Linked DNA regions of Oryctolagus cuniculus. The protein of the gene in region 3 interacts with the protein of the main gene of each other region in a biochemical or structural test. Links are inferred from orthologs where the notes say so. Each region holds a gene or a part of one and is shown on either strand. Other genes may lie near its edges.

Region 1 (4,064 bases), on a different chromosome or scaffold from region 3:
AGAAATGCCAAACCGGATTTGATGTTTTGGAAGTAGGATGCCCTTTCTAAAGGTCTGTTGTTGTCTTTAAACAAAATCTCTGACCAAGGTTAATTTTTCCTCTTTTTTAAAAGGCCTGCCAGCTAAATCACCCACCACCTCAAACTCAGATTTTTACGTGTGGACCCCTAGCTGGCAAATATTATCTGGAAAACTCCTAATATGAGGCAGATGAAACACTTGGATGGTATACAATGGCTCGGATAGCTCATCTCCGATGGTTGTGCTTGTACGTCTGAGGCAGCGACGAAATACTCAGCTGAAAGATCAAGTCACGAAAGCTGACGTACAGAAGATGGTCCTTTAGCTATTTCGGACAGAACGCGCAGGCCCACTGGTCTTTTACTAAAATTGGGCCGCCATTAGAGAGCGCGCTCTGCACTCCCGGAAGGAGTGCGTTAACCAGCGAAGTCGGGAGGCCCAAATGCCTCTACAGAGGCAAGGATTCGTGCAAGAGGCCGCCACTGGGTCTCTGCCAGGGACACCAACCGGACCGCAATGCGCCTGTCCGAACCGCAGCCGCCTAGCTCGGCAAACGTCGCCAACGAAGAGCGTGTGTTCACAGTACGAACCCGAGGCGGAAACGGAGCGGTGATTGAAAGGTCGTCCCCAGCACGCCTCCCGCGCCAGCCTGCAAATCCCAGCATTCACTCCTCCCACAGGAGCCAATGAGAACGCTACAAGTTCCTGCAGCCAATCACATCCCGACTCAGCGTAGCGCACGTTGAATTCTGGGACTTGTGGTTTTCACGTGGCAGCTTCAGTCTGGTGGTTAAAGGCAACAGGCCACGCGTCCGATTCAAAACGAAAACTCCCTCTTAGAATTCTTTATGGTCTCCAGGCTGTCCCCTTAATCACCATAATCTCCAGGCACTACACGCCTTTAAATTAGTGAACTTTTTATCTTAATGTCATACAGATAAGAAAATCAAGTATTTTCAGATTAAGGCCCGTTTGTAGCTTCCGTCCCTCGTCCTTTAACCGTCACCCTGAAATCTCGCGAGAATAGCCCCCTTCAGTCGTTGTCATGCCTCCTGGGAGGCGGTCCACGAGAAGACTGACATCGGCCTTAGCCAACAGAATTGCCCTTTAACAAGCGTCTCAAGCGTGCGCGGGGAGGCCTCCGTGAACTCTGACTTCGGCTTTCCGTAGCGTCCTCCGCCTGTCGCCCCGCCCCCGGAGCGAAGGAGGCGGGTTTTGGCCTCCTGCCCTAGCGATCGAGTGCGGAGGGAGTGGGAGCTAGACGGCCCGAGTGGAAGTGTCTGGGTCCCGGGAGAAGCCCTGCTGTGCGCCGTGCCGCCCATGAGTCCGCTCTCCCGCCAGCAGCGCGGTCGTTAGCCCAGCCCCGCAGCCTCTGCTTCCCCCGGGACGGGCCCACCCTCGCCGCGGAGGCAGCCTGCCGAGGCGCCTCCCTAGTCAGCGTCGGCGTCGCGCTGCGACCCTGGAAGCGGGAGCCGCCGCGAGCGGGAGGAGGAGCCCGAGCGGCGGCGGCGGCGGCGGCGGCGGCAGCGGGCAGCAGCACCAGCGGCGCCGGCGGGCGGGATCGGGGCCGTCAACATGGCGAGCGCCTCGTACCACATTTCCAACTTGCTGGAAAAAATGACATCCAGCGACAAGGACTTTAGGTGAGGCCGCAATCTGACCCTCACCCCACCTCGGGGGGCCCCCCGTCCGCGGCCCTGGCCCTCACGCAAGGCCCTGCCCCACCCCTTGGGCCTTCGCCGGCTTCCTCGCTTCACCGCGGCCGCCAGCCCGCCGCTCGGCTGGCTCCCTGATCCCGGGACCCCCCCCACCTTTTCCTCGCCCCGCTTCCAGCCCCCTCCCCCCTTCTTGCCTCGAGGCCGTTGCCACAGCCATCCCTAGGCCCCTTCCTTCCTGGCCTCTAAGCGCCCCCGCCGCAGGCCCTGACCCTACGGACGCCATCCTCGGCTCCCAGGTAGCGCCGAGGGGCGAGAGCACCCACCATTGTGTGGAAGGGGAGTTGCTCTGCGGCCGGGCCCGCGCGCCGGCCTTGCCGAGGCTTTAGGCCGCCCCGCTCACGGGGGCCCCCGCGGCCGCCTCCCTGGCTCCCGCAGGCTGGGGTCGGCGCAGCGATTCGCTTTGGTCGAGCCCTTCGCTGACTGAGTTCTGTACTTTTTTTCTTTGCATTCTTTTCGGTGTCGGAGCGGAGAAGTGGGGGAGGGGAGCCTGAAGGCAGAGACTTGGCCAGGAGGGTTTTCCCGCCAGCATCTCTTGTCAGTTTCCGTCGTCAGGTGAAACCCACGCAGGGTCTCGGGGTTTCAGCCTCATATGCCTACATCCAGAGTCCGAACGAGCCGGACCTTCCTGGAAGGAGTTCTCTGACACGGGGCTGGGGAATGCGAAGCTTTATACAGCAGTCTGTTTCAGGAGGCTTGTGCTGTTGCTTCCAGATTCTTGTCACATGCATGTTGAAGACATGCTGTGTTTTCACAAGTTGATTATCTGTGGGCCTTTTTTTTTTCCCCTCCTCGCACACTGCATTGATTGTTGCATTCCTTTACAAATAAATACATATGCTCTGTCTCTCACAAACATGCTTTTTTATTTCTGCACCTTCAGTTTTACACGTGTCATTTATGTGCATTTAAAAAGAACGAGCAAGTAATCTTCAACTAAGTTATAGCCAGTTTGTACGTGTTGTCTGAACAGGACGTTTTAACAGGAAAATGGGTCCAAACTCAGCCGGCAAGAAATGTTCTAACTTGGGAAAGGAGAGCCATGGAAAAAGCAATAATTGTGATCCTACTTAGATTGATGGTGTTTGTCATATTAAAATGGTCACTGAAGTGCAGTTTTGGTTCTGTGGCTTCAAAACCACATGCTTTTGGAAAAGTTTTGCTACCTAGGGAGTGTAAGTGTTGTGTCTGAAACTTAAAACCAGTTTGTTAACCTGAAAGATTTTGGCGTTGTTACTTTTTGGAAGTGAGGTGCTTGTTTTGGGTAGTTTGGAATTTGAGATGTGTGTAGTTGGAAGGGCAAAATCAAGATTATTGGGTGGAAAATAAAAGTTTTATGTTTTAAGAATGAGGATGCTGTTTGATTTCCTTTGGAACTTTGCTTGCTCCCAATTCCAGTTACTGAAATGGAAATGCTTGAGTGAGACTTGGATGTAACTTTCAGCCATGGAAAATCTGTGCTGTGTCTCTTCCTGCTTCTGTCAGTTTGTCTTATTCTGTAGAAGAACTGATCTATTCTTATTGTTTTTCATTTCAGTCTAAAGGTAGCACTTTCCCTGTTGTGCAGTTTTAACTTTACAGAATCCTATGTGGGTAATATATTTAGAAATACTTAGAAGTCATGTCATGTGGTGATACTGTACAGATAGATGTCTGTTGACTGAAGCCAGCTCTTTTCAATTTCTTGCAAAGGAAACATAGTATCAAGGTACTTTTAAGAGTTGTGGAAAATGGAATTAAAAGACAAGTTTATTCTGCTGCAAAAAACTTTTTTTTAATCCATGCATAGTTTTTTCATAATATGCATTTTCTATGAACTTTTTGAAAACCTTTGTGTAGGGTGTATGTCCCTGGGGTTTGGTTTTATTTTGTTTTAAACTATGTGAAGGAAGTAACAATGTGTGATGCTACTCTGTAGTTATTGCTGAATTTACTAAGAATTTTCTACTGATTTGGGTTGGAATGAACCAGAACATAGCTTGACTAGGTAGTGTAATATTAATATATAATAGTTGGTGAATGTTGTAGAAGCTTTGTTGAGGAATAGTAAGCAACTTCCAGCAATTTGACATCCCCGAGGTGTTTTTAATGAACTATGTTGTAAAAACTGTTTTGTAATGTGCTTCAGTTCACAGGCAAATCTTTGGAAGCTGAGGAATTTTTTGTATTAAGTTACAGATTTAAAGATTAATTGAAGTAGTGAGCATTTAAAGTAAACAGTTTTGAAGATTTTTCTGCCTAATTTCAGTATGGGTGTTTATCTTGATACAGTTGTTCTTTTTTAACTTCTTGTTAGAAATTTCTTTATTTTGGTATAAATAGCACAGA
Region 2 (4,137 bases), on a different chromosome or scaffold from region 3:
TAAGTGATGGCTCAAGGACTTGAGTCCCTACCACCAACATGAGCGAGCCAGATTTAATCCCCGACTCCTGGCTTCTGCCTGGCCCAGTCCAGCTATTGCTGGCATTTGCAGAGTAAACCAGTACATGAATAATTAATCGATCGCTCTCTGTCTCCCCATCTCTGTCACTCTGGCTTTCCAATAAATAAAACTTTTTTTTTTGAAACCCACAAAACAGAAGGTTTTCTGGTAAACAATAAAGGGAAAGTTGACCCATTTAGCCATTACCTTCATCTGTGGGAAGTCACAGACAAGGAAACCCCATTGAAAGAGATGGAGAAGACAGGTTAAGGAATTCGGAGATAAGTTGTCTGTGGAACACACAAGTCCCAGTAAGAGGAACCAAGGATATTACAGGAAAGCCATATAAAAAGTGGCTACATACACCTAACGATTCGTTTGACTAGGTTACTTAGAAGTGTACAGACCAAGAATTTTTCAACCCCTGCACAAATTAAGGATTCCATACTTTGGTGACAAGTTTATTTACAAACTAAGGATGCTTAACAGAGACTGACAAAAGACCCCCATTTCAGAGAGGGATTTTTCTTCTAAGAGAACCCGGTGTTCCTAGGGGAACCGTGTGGACTCTGGGGGTGGCCTTCTGCTCTGGCTGACCACTTCTGCCCCAAAGTGCTTCTACAATCTCTGCAATGTTTTGGTTTGGCGAAAACAGGAAACTGCCTCCATCCTAACTTCTGCCCAGACGACAGGCTAATTGGAAACCCTTCCTTACTCATTCAGTGGAATTAGGCATCTCGCAATCTCACTAGGTGTGAGGTAAGTCAATGCTTTCTGTTACTGGTGCTGCCAAATTTTGCTTAATATTCCAAACACCCAATCCTAAGATTATTCCTAAGGAGTGAGATTAACTACTACTGACGACACGTGAAAACAGTATTTTATAGTCACATCTCATGCCAAGCATGTCATCAAAACCTTCAATTCTGTTCTTGATGTGTGCTTACAAAGACTAAGGAAAAGCGAATCTTCGTCAAAATTTGCCCAAAGCGCGTCGGTTAAAGGGTTTGAGGAGGGGAGCCTGGTTGGGTGTATTTTAGAAAAAGACTTTTTAAGAAAGACATGCAGCCAGCCTGGCTCAGGCTTTCGGGCGCTCTTTCCGAAGGCGGGCAGGTGCACCGCGGGGAGAGCGAGGCGCGCACGTGTCGCGGGAGTCCGCGCGGATTTTCGGGACCACCTGCCCCCGCTGACTTTAAACGCCAGTCGGGGACACCGCTGCTGGTTGCGCTCCCGGTCCCCGGAGGCACGTGGCTGGGGGTAGTCGGGTTCCATGTCAGCTCTGGGGGAGTGTGTGCGCACGGGGAGGGGCAGGGGCGCGGGGAGCCCCTCTCCTCCCGCTGCTTCGCGCAGCGTCTCCAGAGGCCGGAGCCCCCCGCCGCCCCTCCAGCCCCCAGGTCAGCCCCGCTCGCGAGGTCCCGAGTGGCGGGAAGCCGGGTCTCCCTCGGAGGCGGCCCCCAGGCGAGGCGGGCTGTGAAACCTGGTGGAGGATCCGGTGCGCCCGGTGGGGGGCGGCTCGGGCGTTTGGGGGGGCCAGGGGCCACGAGACTGCAGGTAGAAACAACCCAAGCGAGCGGGGGGGACCCCGGCGGGCGGGAGGCGGCCGGGCCCCTCCCGCGCCTCAGGCTGGTGGGGCGATGGCGGCGACGGTTTCCCGGCTCCCCCGCCCCGGACGCCGATGGCGGTGCGTTCCGGCCCTCCCCCAACAGCGTCTCCCCCGCGGTCGCCGGAGCCGGTGAGGCCGGGAGGGCGGGGAGCCGCGCAGGGAAGGCGAGAGGGCGGAGGTTGCGTGGTGCAGGCGGCGGCGGCGGCGGCGGGAGGAGGAGGAGGGCCGGGCGGGCGGGCAGGCAGGGGAGGAGGAGGAGGAGGCGGGCGCCGTGTCGCACGCAGCTCCAGGCGGGGCAGCCCCGGTGGCTGAGGGACGCGGCCAGACCTTGGCGGGACGGGGGGGGTTTCACCGGGACCCAGCGACCCGGCGGAGACGTCGCGGGAGCCTTTCGGGCGTTTGGAAATGCGGGTGAGTGTCGGCGGCCCAACGGAGGCGGCGGCGCAGGCCCGGCCTCGAGCCGCGGTGTCGCAGTGACTGGGGCCGCGGCGGCCGAGCGCAGGCGGCGGGCGAGGCCTGAGCCGCCGACCCGCGGCCGGGCGGAATGGCGGCCGGGCCGGGGGCCCTCGCGGGGCGGAGGACGCCGGGGGCGGGCGAGGGGCGAGCGGGGCCCGCCCTGAGTCACCCCGGCTGGCTCGGGCCTGCCTGGCCGGGCCGGGCCGCGGCTCCGGGGCGGCCAGGCCCGGACTACGCACCGGGAAAAAGCCCGATTCATCGCGCCCGGAGGCGGCGGCCTGCGTGGCGCCGGGCTCGCCTCCCGGAGGCTGGGCCGGCGTCCGCGCCGCGCCTCGCCTCGCCTCGTGCGGCGACCCTCGCGGGACGGCCGCGCTTCGGCCCTCTCTCCCTCCCCCGCCTTCCGGCTCGCGCTTCTCCCTCGGGCGTCGCTGGCATGCTCTCCGGCGCGCCTCCGGAGCGGCCGAGCCGGTCTCCCTGGCTCTCGGGTGCCCCGCTCGCTTTGTTGCGGCCGTGCAGGGCGCTATTATTGGGTAATAGTCTCCCCTTTGCTCCGTTCTCTCGGGGGAGCGGGCCGGCGCAGACGGCGCAGGGATGCCCGGGCGGCGGCGGAACCGGACGGAGCCCCTCGGCGCCCGCCGAGCGCTCTCGACTCGGCCCCAGGCCCTGCGCCCTGGCCTCGGCGCGCCCCCGGCCCCGGCACGAGCGCGCGCCCCGAGCCGGGAGGGAGCCCCGGCCGCGGGGATTTGGGGTCCGCCAGGCACGCGGGTCGTGCGCTTCGGTGCCCAAGGCCCAGGTTAGCCCGAAAACTCCGGCTTTCCAATCACCTGTGTGGCGCTGTGCAGTGTAGACGTATGATTGAGAAAGAGAAATGCTTGGCGTTCCTTAAGATGAAGCCCCAAACTTGAGGGTGTCCCTTCTTGAGCTGGCTGTGCCAAAGACGATTCTCTTTGCTGATTGGGTCACTGTTGCTGCCTGCAGTTCGTAATAGGGGTTAGAGTAAGTGCGCAAATACTGAATTGCATTCAAGTTACTCAAGTATGTATTTACTCTGTGTAATTGTTCTTTGCTGCAGTAGCATTAAAATAGTCCAAAGTTATGAGTGGAGTAAAGGGTCACAGTGTTTTTGTAAATGCACTTAACAGATTGGAGAAGAGGAACTAAATTCATTCTTACTTTAAGCCAGGAGCTTCTAGCATGAGTTCCTGCCTTGCAGAAGTGTGTGCAGTTTAAAGTTTCGCAGTTAATTTTGGAGTGTCCCTCAAAATGGACCCGGCTTTCTGAAGTCCTGGAGCATTTATGTCACGTAGGATAATCTATGATGATCTGTTGAAAAAGTCGAACTAAGCATTTATTTTTATAAAAAGTTTGGGAATGAGGTTTTTCTTTGTATTAGAAAGATTTTTGCTTCAAAGTCCTGTGTGTTGCTTTCCATAGTAAGTTGAAATAGTTGCATCGCATTTCAAATTCCAAAGCACGCAAACACAAGACTTGCTTTAACTCTATTATGCCCATTTTTGGAGGTTTCAGGAGAGTGCTCATTAAGCTTGAAAGATGGCTGAATTGTCTGCTTTTAAAAAGAAAAAGTTAAGCTTTGTTTCCCTTGGTACCGTTTAAAATTTTTTTTTTCCAGAAAACAAACCAACTTGAGATACGCTAGGTTTTTCATCAGTGTATACAATCCACTCTGCCTGAGAGCTTTGTGCTCAGGTCCCTGTAGGCACGTCCTGTCCCCCAAGCCTGCCCCAGGCTATGTGGCATCAGAGGATCTCGGGACACACGCCTGAGCCCGACTGCTGGGTGTCCTTAGGGATCAGGGCTCGAGTACTCCTCTCCACTGATGGGGTATTCCTTTCTAACTCTAACTTAGTCTTGATCAGCAAAACAGCCTTATTTCCCTTACATTGCACGTGAACTCATTGAAGGCGGGGATGCTCCTTATTTATTTTTGAATCCTCATAGTAACTCAGAACTTGGTTGTGCTGGTACCTCAGTTACTGTTTTGAATGAATGAGTGACTT
Region 3 (4,047 bases):
GGGTGGTAAGTTATGCTGGCACCAATATCAAGCTGTTTGAGGCTTCCTAGCAGACTCCCAGCCCCGATCTTTCCAGCTGTCAGCCCTCAAGAGTAACGGAAAGAAGGGATGCTGGGGTCTAAGGCTGAGATAACTACAAGGCTGGGGGGTGGGGGTGTCTATGGGAGACAGGTCCGAGATGGACCATCGAACACAAGGGCCAAAAGGAAGACCAGCAGTGGAGACACGGTTGTGATCAGTTCCTGGGGCCAAAAGTTCCAAGGGTACCTAGAGAGGCCCAGGACCAGGCTGGACAGGGGTCAAGGCGGGTGCAGGAAGGCGCTGGCAGGGAGGGGATGGGGCCCACTCTCCCGCTATGAGGAGAGAGGGTGGACGACAGGCTGAATCCAAAGAGGCGCTGAGGAGCAGAGGGCGTCGGGGTGACTTTGCATTTGTCAAAAGGCGGGGAAGGGCTAGGGTCACACCTGCCCAACGCCACCATGGCCTCCACCTGAGCACGATGCGACGTGGGCGTTCGTGGGCAACGACAGCGCGCGCACGGTGGCCGATGGGCAGTGCCCCGGGAGCCTCGGCCAGTCCACCGCACGCCCGTTCCTGTGGTGACCGAAGCCACCGATCCGCCCAGCGCCTCCCCTCCCGCCTTCCGAAGCACGCGGGGCTGTGGCTGGAGGGGAGGCTCACGCCGCCCGCACGGCGGAGGAGCGAGGCAAGGCTGCCGTGCTACGTCCCGTCCCCAACGTCCAACCCGGACTTCAGACCTCCAAGGTGCTTACCACTCTGTGGCACAAAAATGTTTTACTGTTAGTTTACCTCAGTCTCCGAGAGCGGAGATCTCTGGGTTTGCAACCGGACAGTGAGGGTCCTCGATCCCGCACCCTCTGAGCAAAACCCCTGGCTCCGCCTAGCCTCCGGCCCGCCGTGACCGCTGGGGACAATGACCTTGTCGGACTCACCCCCGCCGCGCTCAGCACGAGTGCAACATCGGATGCACACACCGTGGGGGAGGCGGCCCCCCATCTGACCCACTCAAAGATGGCGGCCAACACTTCTTCCTTCCCGGTCCAGCGAGGGTCCCCGGAAGTGACCGCAGAACCACCGAATCGTCCTCCCGAGACGGAAACACCCGAGGCCCGCCGAAAGAGCACGAACCCCAAACCCCATCGCTGAGCAACGCGTCTGCGGCGGCTGCGCAAGCGCAGAGCGCAGGCCAGGCTGCAAAGCCGAAGCCGGCGGGCGACGGAAACAGCCGAAGCGGCGGGGCGCCCGAGGCCGTTGCCGACCTCCGCGCCGAAGTCGCTGCTGCCGCGGAGGCCGATCCTCCGGTCCTTCGCCGCCGCCCCCGTGGCTGCCGCCTCCTCCTTCCACCCCGCGCCACAGCCCCTGGCGAAGTAAACGGACGAGCGGCGGGGCCCCCAGCCCTCGCGTCCGCAGACGCAGCTGGGCCTCAGGAGACCGGAGCCGGCCAGGGGGAGGAGGGAGCAGCCGGGGGAGGAGGGGCGGGGCCGAGAGCAGCCGAGTCCGCCCGAACGTCGCCGAGCGAAACCGAGGCCCGGGGCCAGGCCGGAGCCGGACTACGGGAGCCGACGCGGGCCGCGCGGTGGGCGCGGAGCGGCGCGGCAGGCCGGGCGGGCGGCAGCAGCTGCAGAGGAGGCCGCGGCAGCGGGTCAAAGGAGCGGAAGCGGCGCGGGAGGCGGCGGGGGCCGGGTGGCCGGGGTCCCGGGCCCCGCGGCGGCGGCGGCAGAGGCGGCGGCGGCGGCAGGATGATCAAGCTGTTCTCGCTGAAGCAGCAGAAGAAGGAGGAGGAGTCGGCGGGCGGCACCAAGGGCAGCAGCAAGAAGGCGTCGGCGGCGCAGCTGCGGATTCAGAAGGGTAGGGGGTCTGGAAGTGAGGGTGGGGGCTCGGAGTCGGAAGTCAGAGCGCAGGGTGGGGTGATACGGGGTCAAGAGCGGGGTCATGAAGTCGCCGAAGATCAGAAATGGGGGCCGCAGTTGCGTGGGGGGGTGGTCAGAGGTCAGGGCTTGAGGGTCGGGTGGCCGGGTAATGCCGCCACTGGGCGCGAATCAGATGAGGGGCCGGGGAGAGCGTGTGAGCGAGGGAGCGACTGGGGCATTCGGGAGGCCTGGGGTCTGGTATTAGGGACCCAGCACCCGGGGGTCAGGTGGCGGAGGGGAGGACTGGGGCTGGAGAATCCGAGGGTTCAGATAGGAATCTGAGTTTGGAATGACAGGCAGAGGGGAGGGGTGGGAGTGGAGGGACTTGGGGTCGGTGTGAGGAAACGACTTAGCGTGTCAGGGGCCGGGGTCCTTGAGTTTGAGCAGACAAGTAGGTACCAGACAGTGGAGGTCGTGGTTGAGGAGTTGGGGTCTGGGAGCATCGGACACGCAGGGTGAGGGGTGTTAGCCTGGGAGCTGGGTTGGGTGGACGCGGGGCCAGGAAGCGGGGAAGCAGCCACAACTGGAGATGTGTGTCGGGAAGAGCCCCCCTGGGGAGAGCAGGAAGCTGGAACTCAGGCCGGGAGGAGGCCGACACCTGCTCCGAGTGCCCATCTCTCTCCTCTCTCCCTCTGTCCCTGTCTCCGCTGTTCAAACCCAGACATAAACGAGCTGAACTTGCCCAAGACGTGTGACATCAGCTTCTCAGACCCAGACGACCTCCTCAATTTCAAGCTGGTCATCTGTCCTGATGAGGTGAGAGCACACGTGGCCAGACTCACAGGAGCAGGGCGAGGATGGCCCCACTGACAGGCAGGAGACCCGCTCTGCTCGCGGGACCTGACTCCTTCCTTCCTTCTCTCCCTTCCCAGGGCTTCTACAAGAGCGGGAAGTTTGTATTCAGTTTTAAGGTGAGTCCCAGGTGGGCAGAGGTGGCTCCGTGGACTGGAGGGGCAGGCACTGAGGCCCTGCCAGGCACCTACCCCCCTCCCCTCTCTTTTCTCGGAGCTAGGTGGGCCAGGGTTACCCACATGACCCCCCCAAGGTGAAGTGTGAGACGATGGTCTATCACCCCAACATTGACCTCGAGGGCAACGTCTGCCTCAACATCCTCAGGTGAGGGCACTGACCCTCTGCTGCCCCCTCCCCGCCCGGCCCCTCTCGGCTTTGTGGTCACTACATCTGTCCCATCCCTTTCATTCCCAAGTCACAGTCCCAATAGCCTGACCGTGGCTTCCTCCCTGGCTTGTCCTGGTCTCACATGCTCACTCACCCATGCCCCGGTCCTGACCTGTGCAGTACCACTGGGGCCTGTGACAGCCTCCCACTCACCAGCTCCTGACCCTGATGCTCTCTGCCCACAGAGAGGACTGGAAGCCAGTCCTTACGATAAACTCCATAATTTATGGCCTGCAGTATCTTTTCTTGGTGAGTAGGGTGGACATTTGGGGCTGGTGGGGAGAATGGCCTTCCACCTCTCTGGCCCGTTGACCCCCACCTGTACTGGCCACAGGAGCCCAACCCTGAGGACCCACTGAACAAGGAGGCCGCCGAGGTCCTGCAGAACAACCGGCGGCTGTTTGAGCAGAATGTGCAGCGCTCCATGCGAGGTGGCTACATCGGCTCCACCTACTTCGAGCGCTGCCTGAAATAGAGTCGGTGTATACCTGCCCCCGCCAGGGCCACCAGTCCTGGCGTCCCCTGCAGATATTTATTGGGGGGCCACAGGTTGGGGGGGCAGCCAGTGGGGGAATCCCCTACCTTGGCCATGCGTCCCCTCCCTGCCACCTGCCCTTAGTTATTTTTTTTTAACCACCACGTGATTATGGTCGGCGCTGCCTCCCCCGACCCACTCAGCGATGGGAAATGAATTGGCTTGTCTAGCCCCCTCCTCCACGCTGGGTGCTATCCAGCCCCCCACTCTGGGCTGCGAGGTGGGTGGGCAAGGGGCCCGGGTCGCTGGGTCCAGGCAACCCACCCCTCCACCACCAGAGGTCCCACCAGGCTATTAAAGGGGAATGTTACTGCATGGCCTCTGCCTCTTCCTTCAATGGGACGCGAGGGGTAGGGGGGAAGTGGAAGGTGTGTGGTCACGGGGGGCACTGGGGGTACCGCA
Region 4 (4,275 bases), on a different chromosome or scaffold from region 3:
TAACACCTTACACAGCACATAAAAATTATATTTCAATTCTAAGCTAATCTCCTGCTGCTCTACATTATAGATCATTGAATTACCACATAAAAATGGTAAAGGAAGGGCCCTGTGATGTGGCCAGGTGGGTTAACCCACCACCTGGGAGGCCAGCACCCCATATGGACACCAGTTCCTGTCCAGGTCTTTCCACTTCTGATCCAGCTTCCTGCTAATGCATCTGGGAAAGCAGTGGAGGATGGCCCAAGTGCTTGGGCCCCTGCACCCATGCAGGAGACCCAGATGGAGTTCCAGATTCTTGGCTTTCCTGCCCATTGCAGCCATTTGAAGAGTGAAGCAGCTGACAAAAGATCTGGATATGGATCTCCAGTCCTCTCTACCTTCCTCCCTCTTTAACTCTGCCTTTCAGATAAATAAATCTTTTTTAAAAATGGTAAAGGGAGAGTCTACAGACTGAGAAGAAGGTCTCTAACATTAAAGAGAGAATTATAGTTGTATCTTTTTTTTTTTTTTTTTGACAGGCAGAGTAGACAGTGAGAGAGAGAGACAGAGAGTAAGGTCTTCCTTTTGCGGCTGGTTCACCCTCCAATGGCCGCCGCACCGCGCTGATCTGATGGCAGGAGCCAGGTGCTTCTCCTGGTCTCCCATGGGGTGCAGGGCCCAAGCACCTGGGCCATCCTCCACTGCACTCCCTGGCCACAGCAGAGAGCTGGCCTGGAAGAGGGGCAACCGGGACAGAATCCGGCGCCCCGACCGGGACTCGAACCCGGTGTGCCGGCGCCGCAAGGCGGAGGATTAGCCTAGTGAGCCGCGGCGCCGGCCTATAGTTGTATCTTAAAACAAAACAAATACACACAAAAAAATTAAGGCTCTCCAACTTTTATACAGCTTGTCGTCCTCTGGTCTCATTTGCTTTCCAAGCTTCTTGAAAACTGAAGACATCACATATTCTCTTTGTTCACCTTCACATTTTCATCCTGGCTTTATGAATGGGATAATTTCCACCTGATGTTCCAAAAAGACACCTCCATTGCTCAATTCATTTCAAGATCTTTTTTTTTTTTTCAAAAAAATTCTCTTATCTTTGAGCAAACCAAACATTTCAACAAATATCAACCCTTCATTGATATTATCTTCATGAGGGTTATAGTCATCTTTGCTGTGTTCCCATATTATGTAAGACAGCCTTTTAACCTACGTGCCACAACAAATACACCACCCTAAACGTTGCTTCAGATTGTGCTGCCAAAGAATGTCTTCCACAGTATGTGCGCTAGATGGTCCAAGACTTAGAATTTATCGTATAAGTAAGGCCACGCAACACGGGGAAATAGTTAACCGGGAGACTAAAAAAAACAACTCCAGTGTGAAGCACCTGGGCTTTGCTCAGGCTCTGCTTCTCCCGCAGATAGAAGGAGAAGGTCCAGGGAACCGCTCCAGTCCCAGAGGACCGGGGCGACTCAGAGAGCGAGCTCGGGTCAGCTGGGGAATAAAGCACGAGTTGGCAGAGCAGGGAGGCGCCGGGGGCGCGCTGCATTGTGGGACTCGTTTCCACAGTTACCCACGTGCACCCAACCCAACCGCGGCCCGGCGCGGCCGGGACTACAAGTCCCAGAATTCCGCGGACTGCCTTTCCCCTTCACACCCGGCTACTGGAACCAGACCCTAAGGAAACCCCTAAAGCGCCCTTCCCGCATGCCAGGGAGAGGTCGCGCCCGTCGGGCGCTGCGCGAGGCCTCCGGGCAAGCTCTCCCTGCAGGCGAGCGGGTCGTGAGCCATCAGCCTCCACACCTGACAGCCAGAAATTAGACAACTGCGTCACAGACTGCCAAACCCACGGATCGCCAGGGACCCCGACACCTCCCCTGCGCAAAACCCCCACCCAGACTCCGGGGCCCGACCTCTCCGGCTCCCGCCACGGAAAACCCGCAGCCCGCGCCTCTGCCCCGCCTCCCAATCCCGCAGCCGGAGCCCGCGCCAGCGCTGACCTCGCTTCCCGCCGCTCGCGGGAACCGCCGCCAGAGCAAACCTCGGGACACCTCCCCCGGCCCCTCCACCTCAGCCCCGCCCCCTCCTCTCGCCGCACGCCGAAGGTCTGGGCTCCCCCCCTTCCAGGGACCCTGCCTCGACCCGGAGAGGCAGCACCTCCCCCAAACACACAGTCCCGCAACCCCCCAGCCCAGAGCCGGACCGAATCTGGACGTGACAGTCCAGCCCCGGCTCCAGCCCCTCCCCGCCTCCCCTTCCTCCCCAACTAGCTCTTCACCCCCGCCTCCTCGCCGGACCCCTGCCCCCATCCTGCCACCCCAAACCATCCCCGGGACCCCCACCGTCCCGACACCGGCACCGGCCGATCACCACCACATCGTCCCCTCCCATCACTCCGGTACCCTGCCACCCTCCCAGGGCCCCTCCCGCCCGCCGGACTCCCCAACTCTTCTATCGCACCCCAAGCCCTCGCAACTACCTCGCTCTCCCGTTACCTCAGCCCTCGCCCCCTGCCCGCCCTCCCGCCCCGCTCGGGTGGCCCCCACTCCCCCGCCCCATTGTTCCCCCACCCCCGCCATCCAGCCCTGCTTCCCATTGTCCCCGCCCCCGCGCTCCCCTCGCACTCACCCGCCTTCCACACGGAGCCGCCCGCACCGCTCAGCCCCTTGGAAATCCTCACCCCTGCGCTCCGCTCGCTCGCTCGCGCCCTCCCCCCCTCTCCCGCCCCGGCCCTGCCCGCTAGCGCCCGCAGCCGCCTCCACCTCCATTCACCCAGGACACTCCGGTCCGGGCCCTTCATCGCACGTCCCGCCCCCCCTTCCCCCAACACTGAAACGGAGCCAGTCCCCACCCCCCTCACCTCCGCCCTCCCCCGGCAGGCCGGCCCCTTCCCCCCACGCCCGCCTCCGCCCCGCGCCGCCCGCAGCGTCACCGCCCGCCCCGGCCCCCGAGGGGAAGGGGTGGCTCCCGGGCAGGGGCTGCCGGCGCGTTTCGGGACGGGAGGCACGGGGCGGGGACTGGCGGGACCCGAGTGGAAAGTGCTGGCAGCGCCAGCCCGCTGGCTCTCCCAAACTCACTGACAGCTGCGGCATCCGAGTGCATTTTCGGGCAGCTCACACCCCGTTCGCCTCCCGGGCTCCCGCGCTCGCCTCGCGGTCCCCCCACCGGCTCACCGCACCTCGGCTGGGAGCTAAGGACCCGCCGCCAAGCACTCCGGGCCCGCCCACCTCGCCTCCTCCATTGGCTGAGCCTAGACCAAGGGACCGCCTCTTCGCGTCTCTGATTTGACAGAAGGAGTGCCGATAGCGCCGGTCTGGAACTGGCAAAGAGGCCCCGCCCCCTGGACTCCAAAGCGATTGGCCCCGGTGTCTGGTCTCCGTAACGCCCCTAGCGGAGGCCACGCTCGGGAGTAGCAGGTTGGACCCGGTTGCCGTCAGTCATCCCCGGGGGTCCGAAAGCGCGTGTAGGGGCGAGGCTGGGGAAATTGGTCCACCTTGACCCTGAAGCCCCGCCCCGTGACGGGCGGGATTGGTGGAGCGGGAGACCAACTGAGAAAGATGGGTCGGCGTCTGAAACAAAGCATGCAAAGTGTTCCCTGAACTGAGAAGGGGAAGCGCAGTTGGGGCAGTTTGTCTCGAGTTGCAGGGAGTAGGGAGGACAGCCCACTCCTGGCGCCTGGCACGACGCGTCCGGCCTTCCCGTCCCCCGTCCCGCACTCCAGAGGGACTCTGCAGGAGCCCGAACTTGGACCGGGACTTCTCTTGCCGGCTTTTTCCTACCACAGAGAACCGGATCAAGCATTGTCGGGTCTTCATTCCGAGCAGACCCTCCGGTGGGAACAAAACGCTGTCTCAGCCCTCTCCACACTTTGGAAAAGCGCTTCTTTCCCAGAGTCTACACCACTCCTTCCCCCTGCGAGTGCCAGCTGGGCTGTCACGAAGGCTTCGAATGCTACAGCATTGTCTGCCACACGCGTCCGCGTGCCCCGGGCAGCATGCCGGAAATCCAGGGCTGGGGTCGCTCGGGCGCGTCGGCGAGTCGCCAGCCCACCCCAGAGCAGCGTCACCGGAGGGCACCCAAGGCGGGACGCGCAGAGGGCGACCACGAAACGAAACAGAGGCAGGCTGTTAGCCGAGGTGAATTCCGCGCCTGGGGTTTCCCACGCCAAGAATTCACACCAGGCTTCCAAATTTCGCCCTGGGTGTTCGGTGTTTGGTGACCAAATTGTCCCACCACCACACGACGATAGCGGAGTAACATTTTGCGACGTGAGCGAAGGATCACCCT
Region 5 (4,091 bases), on a different chromosome or scaffold from region 3:
ATTAAAACCATGTTAAGTATGGGCTGGCATTGTAACACAGTGGGTTACACTAACTCTTGTGGTGATGTCATCCCATGTCAGAGGGCTAGTTTAACTCCTACCTATTTTCCAATCCAGCTAATGGTGGCAGGGCAGTGGAAGATGGCTCAGGTGCTTGGGCTTGGAGTTCTTGCCTCCCAGCTTTAGCCTGGTCTAGACCTGGCTTTTGTGGCCATTTGAGGAGTGAACCAGTAGATGAAAGTTATCTATCTTCCTCTCTCTGTTATTCTGCCTTTCAAATAAATAAATCTTTAAAAAAAAAAAAACCACATAGCTAGTATTTCTATACTGCTCATAGGTACAGAGGCTATCAATATGGCCCTTTTGTGAGATAAATTCAGATAAGTGTACGAGTCAATGACTTTTGACAAGTACATACACCAGCACCCCAACTAATGCACAGTGTATCTATCATCCAGAAAGTTCCTTTGTACATCTTTGCCGTCTTCCCTATTTCTACCCTATCCCAAGCCCCATGTGTTACAGATATGCTGTTCCTTCAGATAAGTTTTACATGGTAAAAAATTTTGTCACATATCAAATTAGTATTACAATGTCCAGTTGTCTCAAAATGCTATATGAATTGTTGGCTTGAATCAATATTCAATAAAAATCATATTAAAAATCATCGCTATATCCTTTAAATCCTTATCCTCTCTTCCTATTAATTTGCTGCAGAATCCGGGTCACACGTCTCGAAGACTTCCTGACAGTTTAGATTTTGCTGTTTGCTGTCCGGTAAATTCCTTGCTACTCAGTCAGCAATCATCTACTATCTCTCTTCCGAGAGGTGAGTTCTGTATAAGTAAAAATTGTGCAGTTAAACTTCACTGCGGGACACAGTGGCTAGCAGAGGTTGAGAAGTGGGGGACGGGGGGGGAAGGAGCTAGAGGCCAATCACAGGTCCCTGAAGAAAATATGCTAGACACTGACAATGCGTTTAAATGCGGGAACACTAACGATAAGATTACCGTTTGGAAGAGCTCAGGAGTGAAACCTGGTCTAGTTCTTCAGAATATTTTTAACGCCAGTTGCAGAATATTCGTTTCATAAAACATTCTCGGTGGTGACTACTAACACCAAGGTGGGGGTGGAAGAGAAAGGCCAGGATACTAAGTTTTGTTTGCAGTAATTCCGGCACAAAGCAGGACTTCTACCTTTTCCTCGGTTAGACAGCAGGAACCCACCGCCCCTGCGGCTAACCTGGGTCAACTAGAGCCACACCCCTTCCGGCAACCCGCGCGCACGCGTCACTTCCGAATATAAGGGATTCGCATCCGGGTCAGGCTGAGCCGCTTGCTCCCTGTGACTGGCGGAGGTGCCGCGCTGTACGCGTTATTTCCTCTCGGCGAGACCGACCCGCAGTGGCCACCGGCGAGGAGCCACCCCTGTCCCAGCGAAGAAAAAAGAGCAGGAGACCTGGGAACGCACGGCCGCCGTGCGGGGCCGAGCCGGGCCAGCCTGACGACTCTGCCCCTCCGCTTGCTGCTGTATTTGGGAACGAAGTGCCAGCGCTGAGGGGCCTCCAGCAGACATTGACCCCCTTCCCCGGCTCCCCTGCCCACCCTGCCAGGGAGGGCGGAAGATGCCGGTGAAGAAGAAGAGAAAATCCTCTGGGGTGGCAGCGGCAATAGCAGAAGACGGAGGCCTCAAAAAGTGTAAAATCTCCAGGTACCACTTCCACCCTTTCCTTCAAGCTTTCCTTCTTCCTCCTTTGCTGGGCAGCTGGAAGAAAGGGAGTCGGGCCCGGCCTCCCGGTCTCGGGCTGGAGAGGGGTGAGGCCCCCTTTTCCAGCCAGGCGGTAGGTGCAGAACACCGGGAGTCCGCGCCGGAACCGACCTCGTGCTCGCTCGTGTGTGTGCCCCGGCGTTCACGGAGAGCCCGGGGCAGTCTCCAGCATTAGGGGGTGCCTGCCCTGGAGGTGGGGGAAACAGATGCATCTGTAAGCTCCGCTCGTTCCCCTGCCCCGCACTCCCTTCATCCCACCCTCAGCTTTTTAATAGACGTGGAAGTAAAGGGTCGCTTTCAGAATTTCTTTGTAGCTTGGAAGAAAAGAGCGTGAGGAATTCTTGGCTTGACAACTGCTTTGGGGACGGTAGGAAGGAACTCTTAGGCTAAAATTGGCCTCCAGATGTAGTATTCGAAGCCCTAACGGAGACCATCTGAGCTGCAGGCCTTTCATATGGTAGGGACCTCATTTTCTGGAAACGTAATGCCTCCGTCTATTCCAAGTCCTCGTGTGCAGGCTTGGAAACACCCAGAATGCTTTTTGTTCTCTAACATTCAGCACAGTGTTAGTTCTTGGTATCAGTATTAGTAATTTGGGAGCTGTTGTACACCATGCTCGGTGAACTGGAGTTACAGCTCTTTGCATGATAGCATATCCTTGGGGCCTCACAGCAACACCGCATGCTGCAAAAAGAAGCATTGCAATTTAGAAATGAGAGGTGGACTGGACGTTGTTGGTTTTTATTTCCTTTGGGAGTCTTTGTATCAATGGTTGACACCTGATGTAACAATGTCAGATGCCACCATTCAAAGAAGACAGTAGCCAGCATTACAAGGAGGAAATAACAGAGCTTCTCTTACAGAGAGATCTGCTGCTTAAAGTGTGAGGTAGGTAACTTAATCCAGTCTTCACCTTCCTTTTCGCCATTGATTGACTTTTTCCTTCATTATTACTGTGTTTTGGCAAAGGAGACCAAGGAGTATTTCTGAGGCCGTTTAATGTGACACAATTTTCTTACACCTCTTGGTCTAGAGAATTTTTATATGAATTTTATATGAAGGCTCCACGAGCTCATATTTTTGTGAAACAAATTAGTTTTTTAGTTACTCTTAATTTGTGACCATCTTGAGTGTATAAAGTGTCAAAATTATTTAAACCAAACATTAGATTAGCTGAGCTGGCAATGTTACTAGAACTCAGGATATACTTTGTCTCTCGATTTTTTTTTATTATGCATACTTCTTTGACATATTACTCAATTTCATTTCTGTATCATTGTGATAGTGTAATTATTTGAATTTCAAGGTACTCTAAAGTGCATGAAATCCTACAGGCCACTTTGGAATTAATCAACTTTTAATGATTTCATCAAAAAGTGTTGAAAATGATTTTGTCTGAGATTAAGTAGCTTTGGCTGAATTATTGAGACTTACATTAACTTTTAGAGTTTTTGTTTTGTTTTGTATTTTTTCTCAGTCTATGGAATTTAGTATACCTGTAGGTCCTATGTCATTTTTATCTTTAAATGTTTATTTTAGCTTAGTAGATGATAAATGAACAATTCTTAATGTATCTTTTTATTTTGAAATATTGGTCAAGTATCTAAATATACTTTGTAAGATTTTGTTTTCAAATGTATACCTGTTATATACAAATATGATTTCCATATGAATCAGTAGCAGAAACAGAATATAGATTTTACACTTTCCCAACTAACAATCCTGCCTCGAGACTTAGGTTGAACTTCTTTGTGTAGTCTTTTGCAATTTTGGGAGATAATTTCAGTTGATATTTTAGAATTTTATAGTGAGCAAAGCAGCATTTGGGGTTGTTATCCATAAATTTTTACATTTAGACTACTGAATTGGAAGTACTTCAGTTTTTTTTCCCTATAATGTCAACGTCTAAAAATATTTTGTTTACTTTGAATTGCGGTAGTTCTTATTGAACTTAGTTTTTCACTAAGAATTGAGACTTAATAAAAATCTTAGGCATTTGTGTGTTTTCTAAGCTATTGCAGATCCCAACCCCCTGCTAGACTAATAAGTGGAGAGGAACATTTTTCAAGCAAGAAGTGCCTGGCTTGGTTTTATGAGTATGCAGGTAATGAAATTAATGTAAGAAGATACCAGTCATATGCTTTAAAAATTTTTTTTGGTTCATTCATTTAACAAATTGTTTATTACAGGCCTGCTATGTCTTAGTGCTGTGCTGGGATCAGAGCAAGGCTGAGGATTGTGGGTAGGCTAGGAATTTGGTGTCGGTTCAGACTGATATTTCTTTAAATATATATTCTGTATTTATTTAGTGGGAGGATGAATGT
Region 6 (4,254 bases), on a different chromosome or scaffold from region 3:
ATGCAGTAGGTCAAAGAAGGAATGAGCAAGAAGTGAGGGAAATAAGGGTTTTGGATAAATTAGCTTAAAAGGGAAGTTATCACCAGACTACACAAACGCTCTTGACTGGCCTCAGCTCCCCAAGAGCTCTAAACTTGTCTGGAAATTAATGCAATGTGGTTAACAGTTAACACTGCTACTCAAAATCTGTGTAAATCTTTAAAAATAATTATTACAACCTAAATTCAACCATGTAAACAGCACTACACACAGTACAGACCTGCCCTGAAAAACAGTATGCAAAACTGAGATCTGGCACTGTATCATTTTGTAATGTTAATTCAACCGAACAGTCCCATTCCCCCCACCCGGCTCTATACTGGCCCCCACCAAAAAAAAAAAAAAAAATCATCCAATTTGTGCAAGAAATGGCAGACTTATTCTATCTGAAGGCTTCAAAAAAAGATACACAACATGTAGCCAGGTTCAAATATTTTGGGGGATTACCCCCCCCAAAAAAAAGAAATAACCAAAATAACCAAAAAATGAAGAAAGTGCCTAAAACATGATACAGCATTTTAGAGCCCTTTCAGATACAAGGCAGAGAAAGGTGTAAAGTAGAAAATATCCGGATCTTCAGTAATTTCCAGAAAGGTCCAATTCCTTGGTTGGCTGCAGGACAGCAGGCAGCTCTTTGCTGCTGCTCCTGGGACAGAGCCACTAAGTCTGCTCCTCGGGACACAAGCCCTCGGGCCCTGAGCTGAGTGCACCTCTCCCTTCCCCTTCTCTTTTCCTTCGCTCCATTTCCCACTCCACAAAGGTATCAAAGAGACTTGGCCAGGCCTCATCTTCACTGTAGTTGCTGAGGTCGGGGCCAATCACCTGAGTGAAGTTAAGGAACATGTTCCAAGTGTCCCGGGAGATGCCCTTGATCCCCGAGGGGTTCTCTGTTAGGAAGTTTAGCCACTGGTCCAATACTGGAGGGTTGTTTTGAGTGAAGACTAGTTTCCACAGGGCAATGGCTATTTCCCGATGCAGTGACCGCTGCCCTTCTTCAGAGTCCAGGCCAAACTGAAATGTAAACCGGTAGAGATCCTTGAATTTATCCTCCTGTTTGGCTTCTGTTAAGAGGCTAGGGAACCGCGCACAGATCCCGTCAATGCTGTCTGCACTTATTGCCTTGCAGCCATCGAAAAACTCCTTCCTGCAACAGAAAGAAGGCACAAATTAGTTATAACCGATATTATTTACCGAGGGCAACAGAGTATAGTAATCAAGAGTATGGCATTGAGGCAGGATGGCCTGGATCAAATGCCAGCTCCTGCACTAAGTAGTCCTCCTTCCTCATCTGCCAAGTGGTGAGTAAATGTTACACCTCACCTTGCAGGGTTCTGGTGAGGGGTAAACACGTTAGCACGAGTACCGAGTGTTTCCAACACTGCCAAGCACACGGCAGGCAGCTAGTCCCCTGCCTCCTGCTGGGTCTGCTGCCCTGCACTGGTGATGAGGTTGCAGCCTCTTTCTCCTCGATGGAGAAGCCTTCCTGCCTCCCTTTCGATTCTCTCTGGGTTGTTTTGGTATCTTTCTGGTGACAGCCAAGAGACACTTCTGGAGCCCGAGAGGCAGGATAAAATTTAAGTCTGCCACCAGAGATAAAAACTGTGCTATTAAATAACAAAACTTGCGTACACATATTTAACATCTTTGTAACACTTCCAGCTGACAGCACGGTTTCCTCTCTGGGACTGCTGTACCCACCAAGATTAGGGAGTCCAGGTCTGGAGGGTAAGCTACCTGGGGGCATATAGACTAGAAATGGCTTGGCCAGGTCTCATAACCTGCGCTCAGCAAACCACCCCTTGGGGTGACCCTGTCACGTCTTCACCCACAAGCAACTTCTACAGGGATATAAGACCACAACGACATGAAACTGCTGCTTGATAACTGGGCCACCTGTCCTTGTTTCATACAGGTCTGGCTGAGGGCAATACGGTAAGGATGAGAAGGGACAACTGGGCTCACGGAGTGGCAGAGGCACATCCCTGGAGGTTCTCACTGTACTGGCACACACAGCACCTGCCACAGGACGGACAGTGAATTCTCAAGTACCTCAAGATTCCTATTGAGTGGGTCTGCTACAGAGTCAGGCACTTACTTTTTTAAACCCTCAGAGGAGTCTTGGGAGGGAGGTGGCAGGGGGAGGCCTTCTCTGGATCAGGAACACAACTTAGCTCAAAACATCTGCTTTTGAGAAACTGGTCAGAGCACAAGGATTTTCCCTTCCCCAAACCCCATGCAGCTGACCCAGTTATCCTAGCTGAGCACTCCTGCACAACATTGCTCCGTTTCCTCCTCTGCTCACCTGGTAACATGAAGTATTTGTAACTAACCTGGTGAATTTGCACATGGTAGCAGCCTGGAACTTCCAAGCCAAGAGCAGCACTCGAAATTCCGTGGGGTCGACACATAGGTCATTGCAAAAGCGTTCCATGCCTTCTTCCAAAATTGCATCCTCCCGCTCGTCCTTGTAGCGCCTGAACAGTTCTTCCAACCTCTGCAAGGAAGACTCTTCAGCATTGGACTTGGACTCCCTCCCAGCATCTCCCGAGGACGTTGGCAACTGGCAGACCTCAGTGGCAGCCTCCGCCTTCTTGGTCCCATTGACGAGGATATCCCCACCTGGCTTGCCACAAGGTGGCACCTGTTCCTCACGGTGGCCTGCACTTCGCCTGCTGTGTGATTTGCTGCTGGAGTCCCGGTCTCCATTCTTGCTGCCCAAGGTTGATGAGGGATTCTTGCACTTGGTGACACACTGGCCCATGGTGCTGGCGGCCTGGCCTCTAAAGTGGCCCCCTCTGGAATGGATGCCCTCGCTGCCGCTGGCCCATGTACTTCAACATGCCATCAGCCAGAGGAACCAGCCAACCTGGGAGGAAATTGGAAAGCAGTCACCTCTTGAACACAGAACACAGGGCATGGGCGGGGGCACCACCCTCTGGGGACTGCTTCCTGGGGATCACTGCGTTTCAATGAGCCAACAAGGAATGAAGGGAGATCACCTCCCTGATAAGCCAGCTCTGTAACTTGCCTTGGAAAAGCAGTGGCTATGGCACATATGGAAAACCAATATGGGAAATTCCTAAAATTCTTAAGGTAACAGGTTACAAAGAAGCTGATTCATGTGCAGAACACATCAAAGACCACAGTTCTGCCAAATATTCCAGAGGAAATCTGTCTTGCCAATTCATCATCATGCAAAAAATTTATGTGGACCTGGATTAAGCCAGAGGGTACAAATATAAGGTTTATTTTCTAGTTTTTAACACCGTCACACTCAGATTTTCTTTTTCCATACATGGGATTAATAGAGGGAGGGAGTGGCCATACCCAAAACAACTATAGGGTCTCACAATAGCTTAACAATGAGGTAAGGGATTTGCAGTGTCAGGCCTGCGAACAAGGGCAGAACCAAACATCAAAGTAAAGTTCATCCCTGATCTCTCCAGATCCCTTTCTGGGCCTATCCCACATAGCAGGTGTAAGGCCCTTTCTTTGCTCAGCTACGGAAGCCATTCACCATCCCTGTACTCCAAGCAAAGTCTCCTAACCTAGGAGCTTTTTTTTTTTTTATTCCCTCCCTTTTATGTCTTTAGTGAGGCTGTACAGAATGCATGCCAAGTTCTCATTAAACATGACAGTCCTAGCAGGCTTCTAATGGGGTATGTGTCTCTGCTCTAAAGGACTGATTTGTCTAAATACGATCTTCTAAAAATGGTAGGATATGGGGGCAGGAATTGTGATGCAAAAGGATAAGCCACTGCTTGGGATGCTCACATGCCGTCCTGGAGTCCTAGCTACTCAGTTTCTGACCCAGCCTCCTGCTCCTGCATCTTGGGAGGCAGCAGATGATGGCCCCAGTGCTTGGGGCCCTGCCACCCCCATCGGAAAGGGACCTAAAGGGAATGTAATTTCTCTGAGACTACCCTGTCTATCCAGGGCTCCTTTTTTTCTTACGTGTTTATTTTTATCTACTTAAATGGCAACAGAGACAGAGACACAGAGATCTTTCTTGTGCTGGTTCACTCCCCAAATGCCCACAACAACTATGCTGGGCCAGGCCAAAGCCAGGAACCTAGAAGTCCATCCAGGTCTCTCCATGGGTGGAAAGAGCCCAAGCACTTAAGCCTCCCAGGCACTTAGGCTGCCTCCCAGGATGCATTAGGAGGAAGCTGGATCAGAAGCAGAGATCCTAGGACTCAGAACTGGCACTCTGCC
Region 7 (3,968 bases), on a different chromosome or scaffold from region 3:
TGGGGTTCCTGGCTTCTGCCTAGCCTAGCATGACCCAGTCCTGGTAGCTTGGAAAGTGAACCACCAGCAGATGGTGATTCTCTGAATGAACCACCAACAGATGAAAGATCAATCTCTCTCTCTCTCTCTTTCTCTCCCTGTAACTCTGCCTTTCAAATACATAAAATAAATCTTAGATGACAAAAAAAAAGATGTCCATATCCTCTATTTACAGTGCTCAGGTTCAATGCCTGGCTCTAGTTCCTGACTTCTGCTTCCCACCAACTTGCACCCTGAGAAGAAATGGCAATGGCTGAAGTAACTGGGTTCCAGTCACCTGGGTAAAAGATCTTGCTTATGTTCCCAGGTCCTAGTTTCAGCACCAGTCAATTCCCAGCATTGGCAGGCATTTGGGCAGCAAACCAGGAATGGGAACTCTCTTTCTCTCAAAGTACTCAAAACACAAGAATATAAATGAAAATATGCTATAAATTCGCTTCACTCTATTTTTATGATGAAAACAAAATAAGAACAAAACAGATAAATATCTGCATTTTACAGATCAATTTTATAATACATAATCTGAAATGAGCACTAGAGACTTTTGCTTAAGCTATAATTTACCTTACAGTAACTTTATGCCCAAATGGTATATAAAAACTACAATATTTATTAAGTTTGCACATACATGTAACCATAAATATTTTCTTGTTTTGGAATACAATGCATTCATTCTAAATTCTAAATTCTGCTAAAAATGGTTAAATTGATTTAGTAAGAAAATTAACATTACTCCAACTCACAAGCCTAGCTCTTTGCCTGGTAATAAGAAAACATGCTAGTGAACTTCATTAGTGCACTTTAGTCAACATTTCTTTCTCACTTTCTGATAGTTTCTCACACCTACTTTTAAAAAAACTCAAACATTTGAAACCTTTAATTAGTACCAAAACATTTAATTCTGAGTATACCACACCTATTTATTCACATAAAGTAGGAAGTTGCTGCATATTGACAATGGTATTTCTGGGCCTGAATTCTACAATCAGGTGAATTTTCTTAAACTTTAAGAATTCAGAGGGATCCCCAAGTACTCTGGGACTAATATTCTTAATTAAGACAATCGTATTAAGGTAGTTAAGTCTTTCCTGACGGCAAACTGCACTTCAAAATAAAATGATTAAAAAAATAAACATGCAAATGACCCCTTTCCCCTCACACGATGTTCATGAATCTGAGAAGGGAAAATTAAGATCTTTCGCCAGTTTTACTTTTCACAATCTTCCATCAATTGCTGTCTACCTTGACGTCTGCCTGTTACTGTAGCGACATGAGCAAGTATGTCAAGTTTTTCTGTTACAACAGTACAACTTAATTGCTTGCTATTGGCTATCTGAATCAGATATGACATCTAAAGTCATACCCTATCTACATACTCAACCCGCAAGCGTGGATCTCAACGTAACGTCAAAAAAGGAAAGTTTCTGAACAAACACTGTTTGCTGTCACTAAAATCGATAGAGTAGAACGCCTCGGTGGGTGACTATAATCATCCTTCTGGGCTTCCACAGCTCAGAAATGGAAAATCAACGTCCAGTTTGTTCTCGCTGGCTCGCTTCCTTTGGACCCCTAGGAGAGGCGAGGCAATTCCTGGCTGCATGCGAGTTAGTGAAGTGCTTAGGAAGCTCGCGGGATGAAAGATGCTATCATCACACTCGAGGTGATTAGTGAATGAGCACTGGGCATTTCGCGGAACCGCTGTCACTGCACCAGGACGGCCTGTGGCAGAACCCTTCCTGGGAGAAAGGAGGGAGACGAGGCAGCCCTCTTCGCACCCCAACAGCTAGCCAAACCAGCTCATTTTTAAGCCGCAGAGAGACCACACGTGAAAAGTTACACACACACGCCCCACACAAGGAAGACTTCCAGCCTCCATCCGCGTAGGGCTGGAGTCCCGGGACCCTGCAGCGGAGCGGAGCGCCGAGGGTCGGGCCTACACCCCAGGAACGTGGGGAGCCGCCGGGGCGCCGCCGGGGCCCCCGCGCAAGCCGACGCCCGCGGGGCGGCTGGGGGCGCAGCTCTCGGGCGGGGGCGCGGCGCCGGCCCGGGGCGCCGAGCGCGGGGAACGGCCCGGGAGGGCGGCCGCGGCGCCCCGTGGCCGGGCAGGCTCGAGCCCCGCGGCCGGCGGGCGTGGGGGAGGGGAGGCCGGGCCTGCGGCCTGTTGGGGGAGTTCAGCCCGGGCCTCGCGTGCGGCTCTCGGCCGGGCCCCCGGCCCCGGGGTCCCGGACGCCGCCAAGAGACTCACCGGAAAGGCCCGGATCCGCATCTTGGTGTCCTTCCGGCTGCCCGTGCCTTTGCTCAGATTCGACATGGTGCTCGTCCCCTCCCCGGCGGCGGCTTCAGGTCGCTCTCCGAGGCGCCGGTGTCACATTTAAGGCGGGCGGGCAGGCGGGGGGCGACGCTGGGGGCGGCGGCGGCGCGGCCCCCGGGCTGGGCTGGGCAGCTGGCCGGCCCCTGGGCGGCCGCGGCGGCGGCGGCGCGGGCTCCGGCGACGCGGGCTCGGCTGAGGGGCTGCGCTGGCGCGGCGGCTCCGCGGGATGCCCCTCACGCCCGGGTCGGCTGCCTTTATCGCGCTCCTCCGCGATGGCGGCGGCGGCGGCGACGGACAAACATCTCACTGCGCAGGCCGAACGTCCTCCTCCTCCTCCTTCTCCTCCTCCGCCTCAGCGAGACGAGATCCGGCCCAGAGGGTGGAGGGGGGAGGAGGGAGGGAGGAGAGCCGGAGAGTGGAGAGGTTGGGGGGAGGGGGGTGGGAGGACGGGAGGGGGAGGCGGGCGGCCGCAGGGACGCTCGGATCTCGCGAGAGCGCAGCGAGCGCGCTGCCCTCGGTGGGGCGGGGCGAAGCCCGGGAGCGGGAGGGCGCGCCGAGAGGGGAGGAGGGGGAAAGGGAGTTGGGAGAGTGGGCGGGGCCAGCGGGGCGGGGAGGTGGGGAAGAGGGCGGGGCGGAGGGCGGGAAGAGTAAGCTGCCCTTTTGAAAGAGGAGCGCCGGAGACCGGATTCCGGGAGGAGGTGGTTGCTGATTGGTGGAGGGTGAGGCGGGGGAGGGGGTTCTTAGTCACGTGGGCGCAGTGGGCGGGGGAAGTTCCGAGGGCCGGAGCTGCGCTCTGGTGGGGTGGGCGGTCCCGCCTGGGCCGGGTGGTGTGGGCAGGAGGTTAGTGCCTGGGAGGAGCGTGGGGTGCGAGATGGGTCACTACGACTGAGAACTGGTTCCCGTGTTTTTCTAGGGCATGTAGACTAGGGATGGGTACTTGAGCGCGAGCCAGAACTTGAGCGTCTGTGCAGGTGTTACCTGCCGCGAGTCCCGCGGCTTGCCCGGGGGTTCAGGCAGAGCGTGCGCGCTGCGGCGCTCTGGACCGAGGGTGGCCAAGTTAGCCCTCCTTAAACTGCACAAGCCCCGGGCCTCTTTATTCACCGACAGTCTGGGGACTGGGGGCCCCGGGGGGAGGGGGGTCCAGTGCTTATTGATGTCAAAACCTGCCTTTTTCCTTACCGCTGTCATGACCTGACAACTTCCTTAATAGGGCGCAGTAGTTTGGTAAATGGTGTTAAATGCAATGTTAGCGATCTGCTCTAACCTGCCAAGTGGATCATTGTAGCTTTCCCTGAACGTGGTCGGTTTTCAAGGCCAAGCTTACCGTTTCTAACAGCTTGCTGTGTATTTGGAAGGATTTTTTTTTTTTTTGGTTTTTGGCTTTTGTTTTCTGCTTTTTGTCGTTGTGTAATCAAAACCTCCGGTTTGAGTCACCTGCTTTGCTTTTTGATCTATTAAGAATTGGACTTCCTGGCATCCCTACTTGCCCAGTTGCTGTTATAGTTGAGTTTCCAACTGCAAGAGAATATCTGTGTTCCTACCAAGGCTTGTGCTCTTCCAGTTCTGTGCATTTGGAAGCTGCGACTTGTATCCAATTTTGTAGCAAACTTAAGTAAAC

What was found.
Region 1: the proteins of UBE2M (region 3) and CAND1 form a complex in vitro, tested with the Homo sapiens proteins (2 studies listed by BioGRID). The link is inferred for Oryctolagus cuniculus from reciprocal best matches to the Homo sapiens genes UBE2M and CAND1.
Region 2: of the proteins of UBE2M (region 3) and CUL1, one has a biochemical effect on the other in vitro, tested with the Homo sapiens proteins (7 studies listed by BioGRID). The link is inferred for Oryctolagus cuniculus from reciprocal best matches to the Homo sapiens genes UBE2M and CUL1.
Region 4: the proteins of UBE2M (region 3) and DCUN1D4 form a complex in vitro, tested with the Homo sapiens proteins (3 studies listed by BioGRID). The link is inferred for Oryctolagus cuniculus from reciprocal best matches to the Homo sapiens genes UBE2M and DCUN1D4.
Region 5: the proteins of UBE2M (region 3) and DCUN1D5 form a complex in vitro, tested with the Homo sapiens proteins (3 studies listed by BioGRID). The link is inferred for Oryctolagus cuniculus from reciprocal best matches to the Homo sapiens genes UBE2M and DCUN1D5.
Region 6: the proteins of UBE2M (region 3) and DCUN1D3 form a complex in vitro, tested with the Homo sapiens proteins (4 studies listed by BioGRID and IntAct). The link is inferred for Oryctolagus cuniculus from reciprocal best matches to the Homo sapiens genes UBE2M and DCUN1D3.
Region 7: the proteins of UBE2M (region 3) and CUL3 form a complex in vitro, tested with the Homo sapiens proteins (2 studies listed by BioGRID, with this or other methods). The link is inferred for Oryctolagus cuniculus from reciprocal best matches to the Homo sapiens genes UBE2M and CUL3.

The regions. Positions count from the first base shown.
Region 1 is NC_091442.1:69,618,407-69,622,470, forward strand, and holds the start of CAND1 (cullin-associated NEDD8-dissociated protein 1), read left to right. Parts: upstream 1-1,264; 5' UTR 1,265-1,596; coding exon 1,597-1,664; intron 1,665-4,064. UniProt on the Homo sapiens protein: Key assembly factor of SCF (SKP1-CUL1-F-box protein) E3 ubiquitin ligase complexes that promotes the exchange of the substrate-recognition F-box subunit in SCF complexes, thereby playing a key role in the cellular repertoire of SCF complexes.
Region 2 is NC_091434.1:174,882,088-174,886,224, reverse strand, and holds the start of CUL1 (cullin-1), read left to right. Parts: upstream 1-1,337; 5' UTR 1,338-1,454; intron 1,455-1,655; exon of another isoform or gene 1,656-1,792; intron 1,793-1,855; exon of another isoform or gene 1,856-2,074; intron 2,075-4,137. UniProt on the Homo sapiens protein: Core component of multiple cullin-RING-based SCF (SKP1-CUL1-F-box protein) E3 ubiquitin-protein ligase complexes, which mediate the ubiquitination of proteins involved in cell cycle progression, signal transduction and transcription.
Region 3 is NC_091449.1:87,815-91,861, forward strand, and holds UBE2M (NEDD8-conjugating enzyme Ubc12), read left to right. Parts: upstream 1-1,247; 5' UTR 1,248-1,760; coding exon 1,761-1,869; intron 1,870-2,592; coding exon 2,593-2,687; intron 2,688-2,803; coding exon 2,804-2,842; intron 2,843-2,943; coding exon 2,944-3,047; intron 3,048-3,295; coding exon 3,296-3,359; intron 3,360-3,444; coding exon 3,445-3,585; 3' UTR 3,586-3,960; downstream 3,961-4,047.
Region 4 is NC_091433.1:42,217,899-42,222,173, reverse strand, and holds the start of DCUN1D4 (DCN1-like protein 4), read right to left. Parts: upstream 2,801-4,275; 5' UTR 2,789-2,800; coding exon 2,617-2,788; intron 2,056-2,616; exon of another isoform or gene 1,989-2,055; intron 1-1,988. UniProt on the Homo sapiens protein: Contributes to the neddylation of all cullins by transferring NEDD8 from N-terminally acetylated NEDD8-conjugating E2s enzyme to different cullin C-terminal domain-RBX complexes which are necessary for the activation of cullin-RING E3 ubiquitin ligases (CRLs).
Region 5 is NC_091432.1:94,775,729-94,779,819, reverse strand, and holds the start of DCUN1D5 (DCN1-like protein 5), read left to right. Parts: upstream 1-1,291; 5' UTR 1,292-1,624; coding exon 1,625-1,710; intron 1,711-2,569; exon of another isoform or gene 2,570-2,655; intron 2,656-3,779; coding exon 3,780-3,871; intron 3,872-4,091. UniProt on the Homo sapiens protein: Contributes to the neddylation of all cullins by transferring NEDD8 from N-terminally acetylated NEDD8-conjugating E2s enzyme to different cullin C-terminal domain-RBX complexes which is necessary for the activation of cullin-RING E3 ubiquitin ligases (CRLs).
Region 6 is NC_091450.1:18,308,819-18,313,072, reverse strand, and holds the start of DCUN1D3 (DCN1-like protein 3), read right to left. Parts: upstream 2,801-4,254; coding exon 2,370-2,800; exon of another isoform or gene 1,962-2,369; coding exon of another isoform or gene 1,952-1,961; exon of another isoform or gene 1,184-1,951; coding exon 700-1,183; 3' UTR 1-699. UniProt on the Homo sapiens protein: Contributes to the neddylation of all cullins by transferring NEDD8 from N-terminally acetylated NEDD8-conjugating E2s enzyme to different cullin C-terminal domain-RBX complexes and may play a role in the cell cycle progression by regulating the SCF ubiquitin E3 ligase complex, after UV damage.
Region 7 is NC_091434.1:14,622,870-14,626,837, reverse strand, and holds the start of CUL3 (cullin-3), read right to left. Parts: upstream 2,801-3,968; 5' UTR 2,351-2,800; coding exon 2,285-2,350; intron 1-2,284. UniProt on the Homo sapiens protein: Core component of multiple cullin-RING-based BCR (BTB-CUL3-RBX1) E3 ubiquitin-protein ligase complexes which mediate the ubiquitination and subsequent proteasomal degradation of target proteins.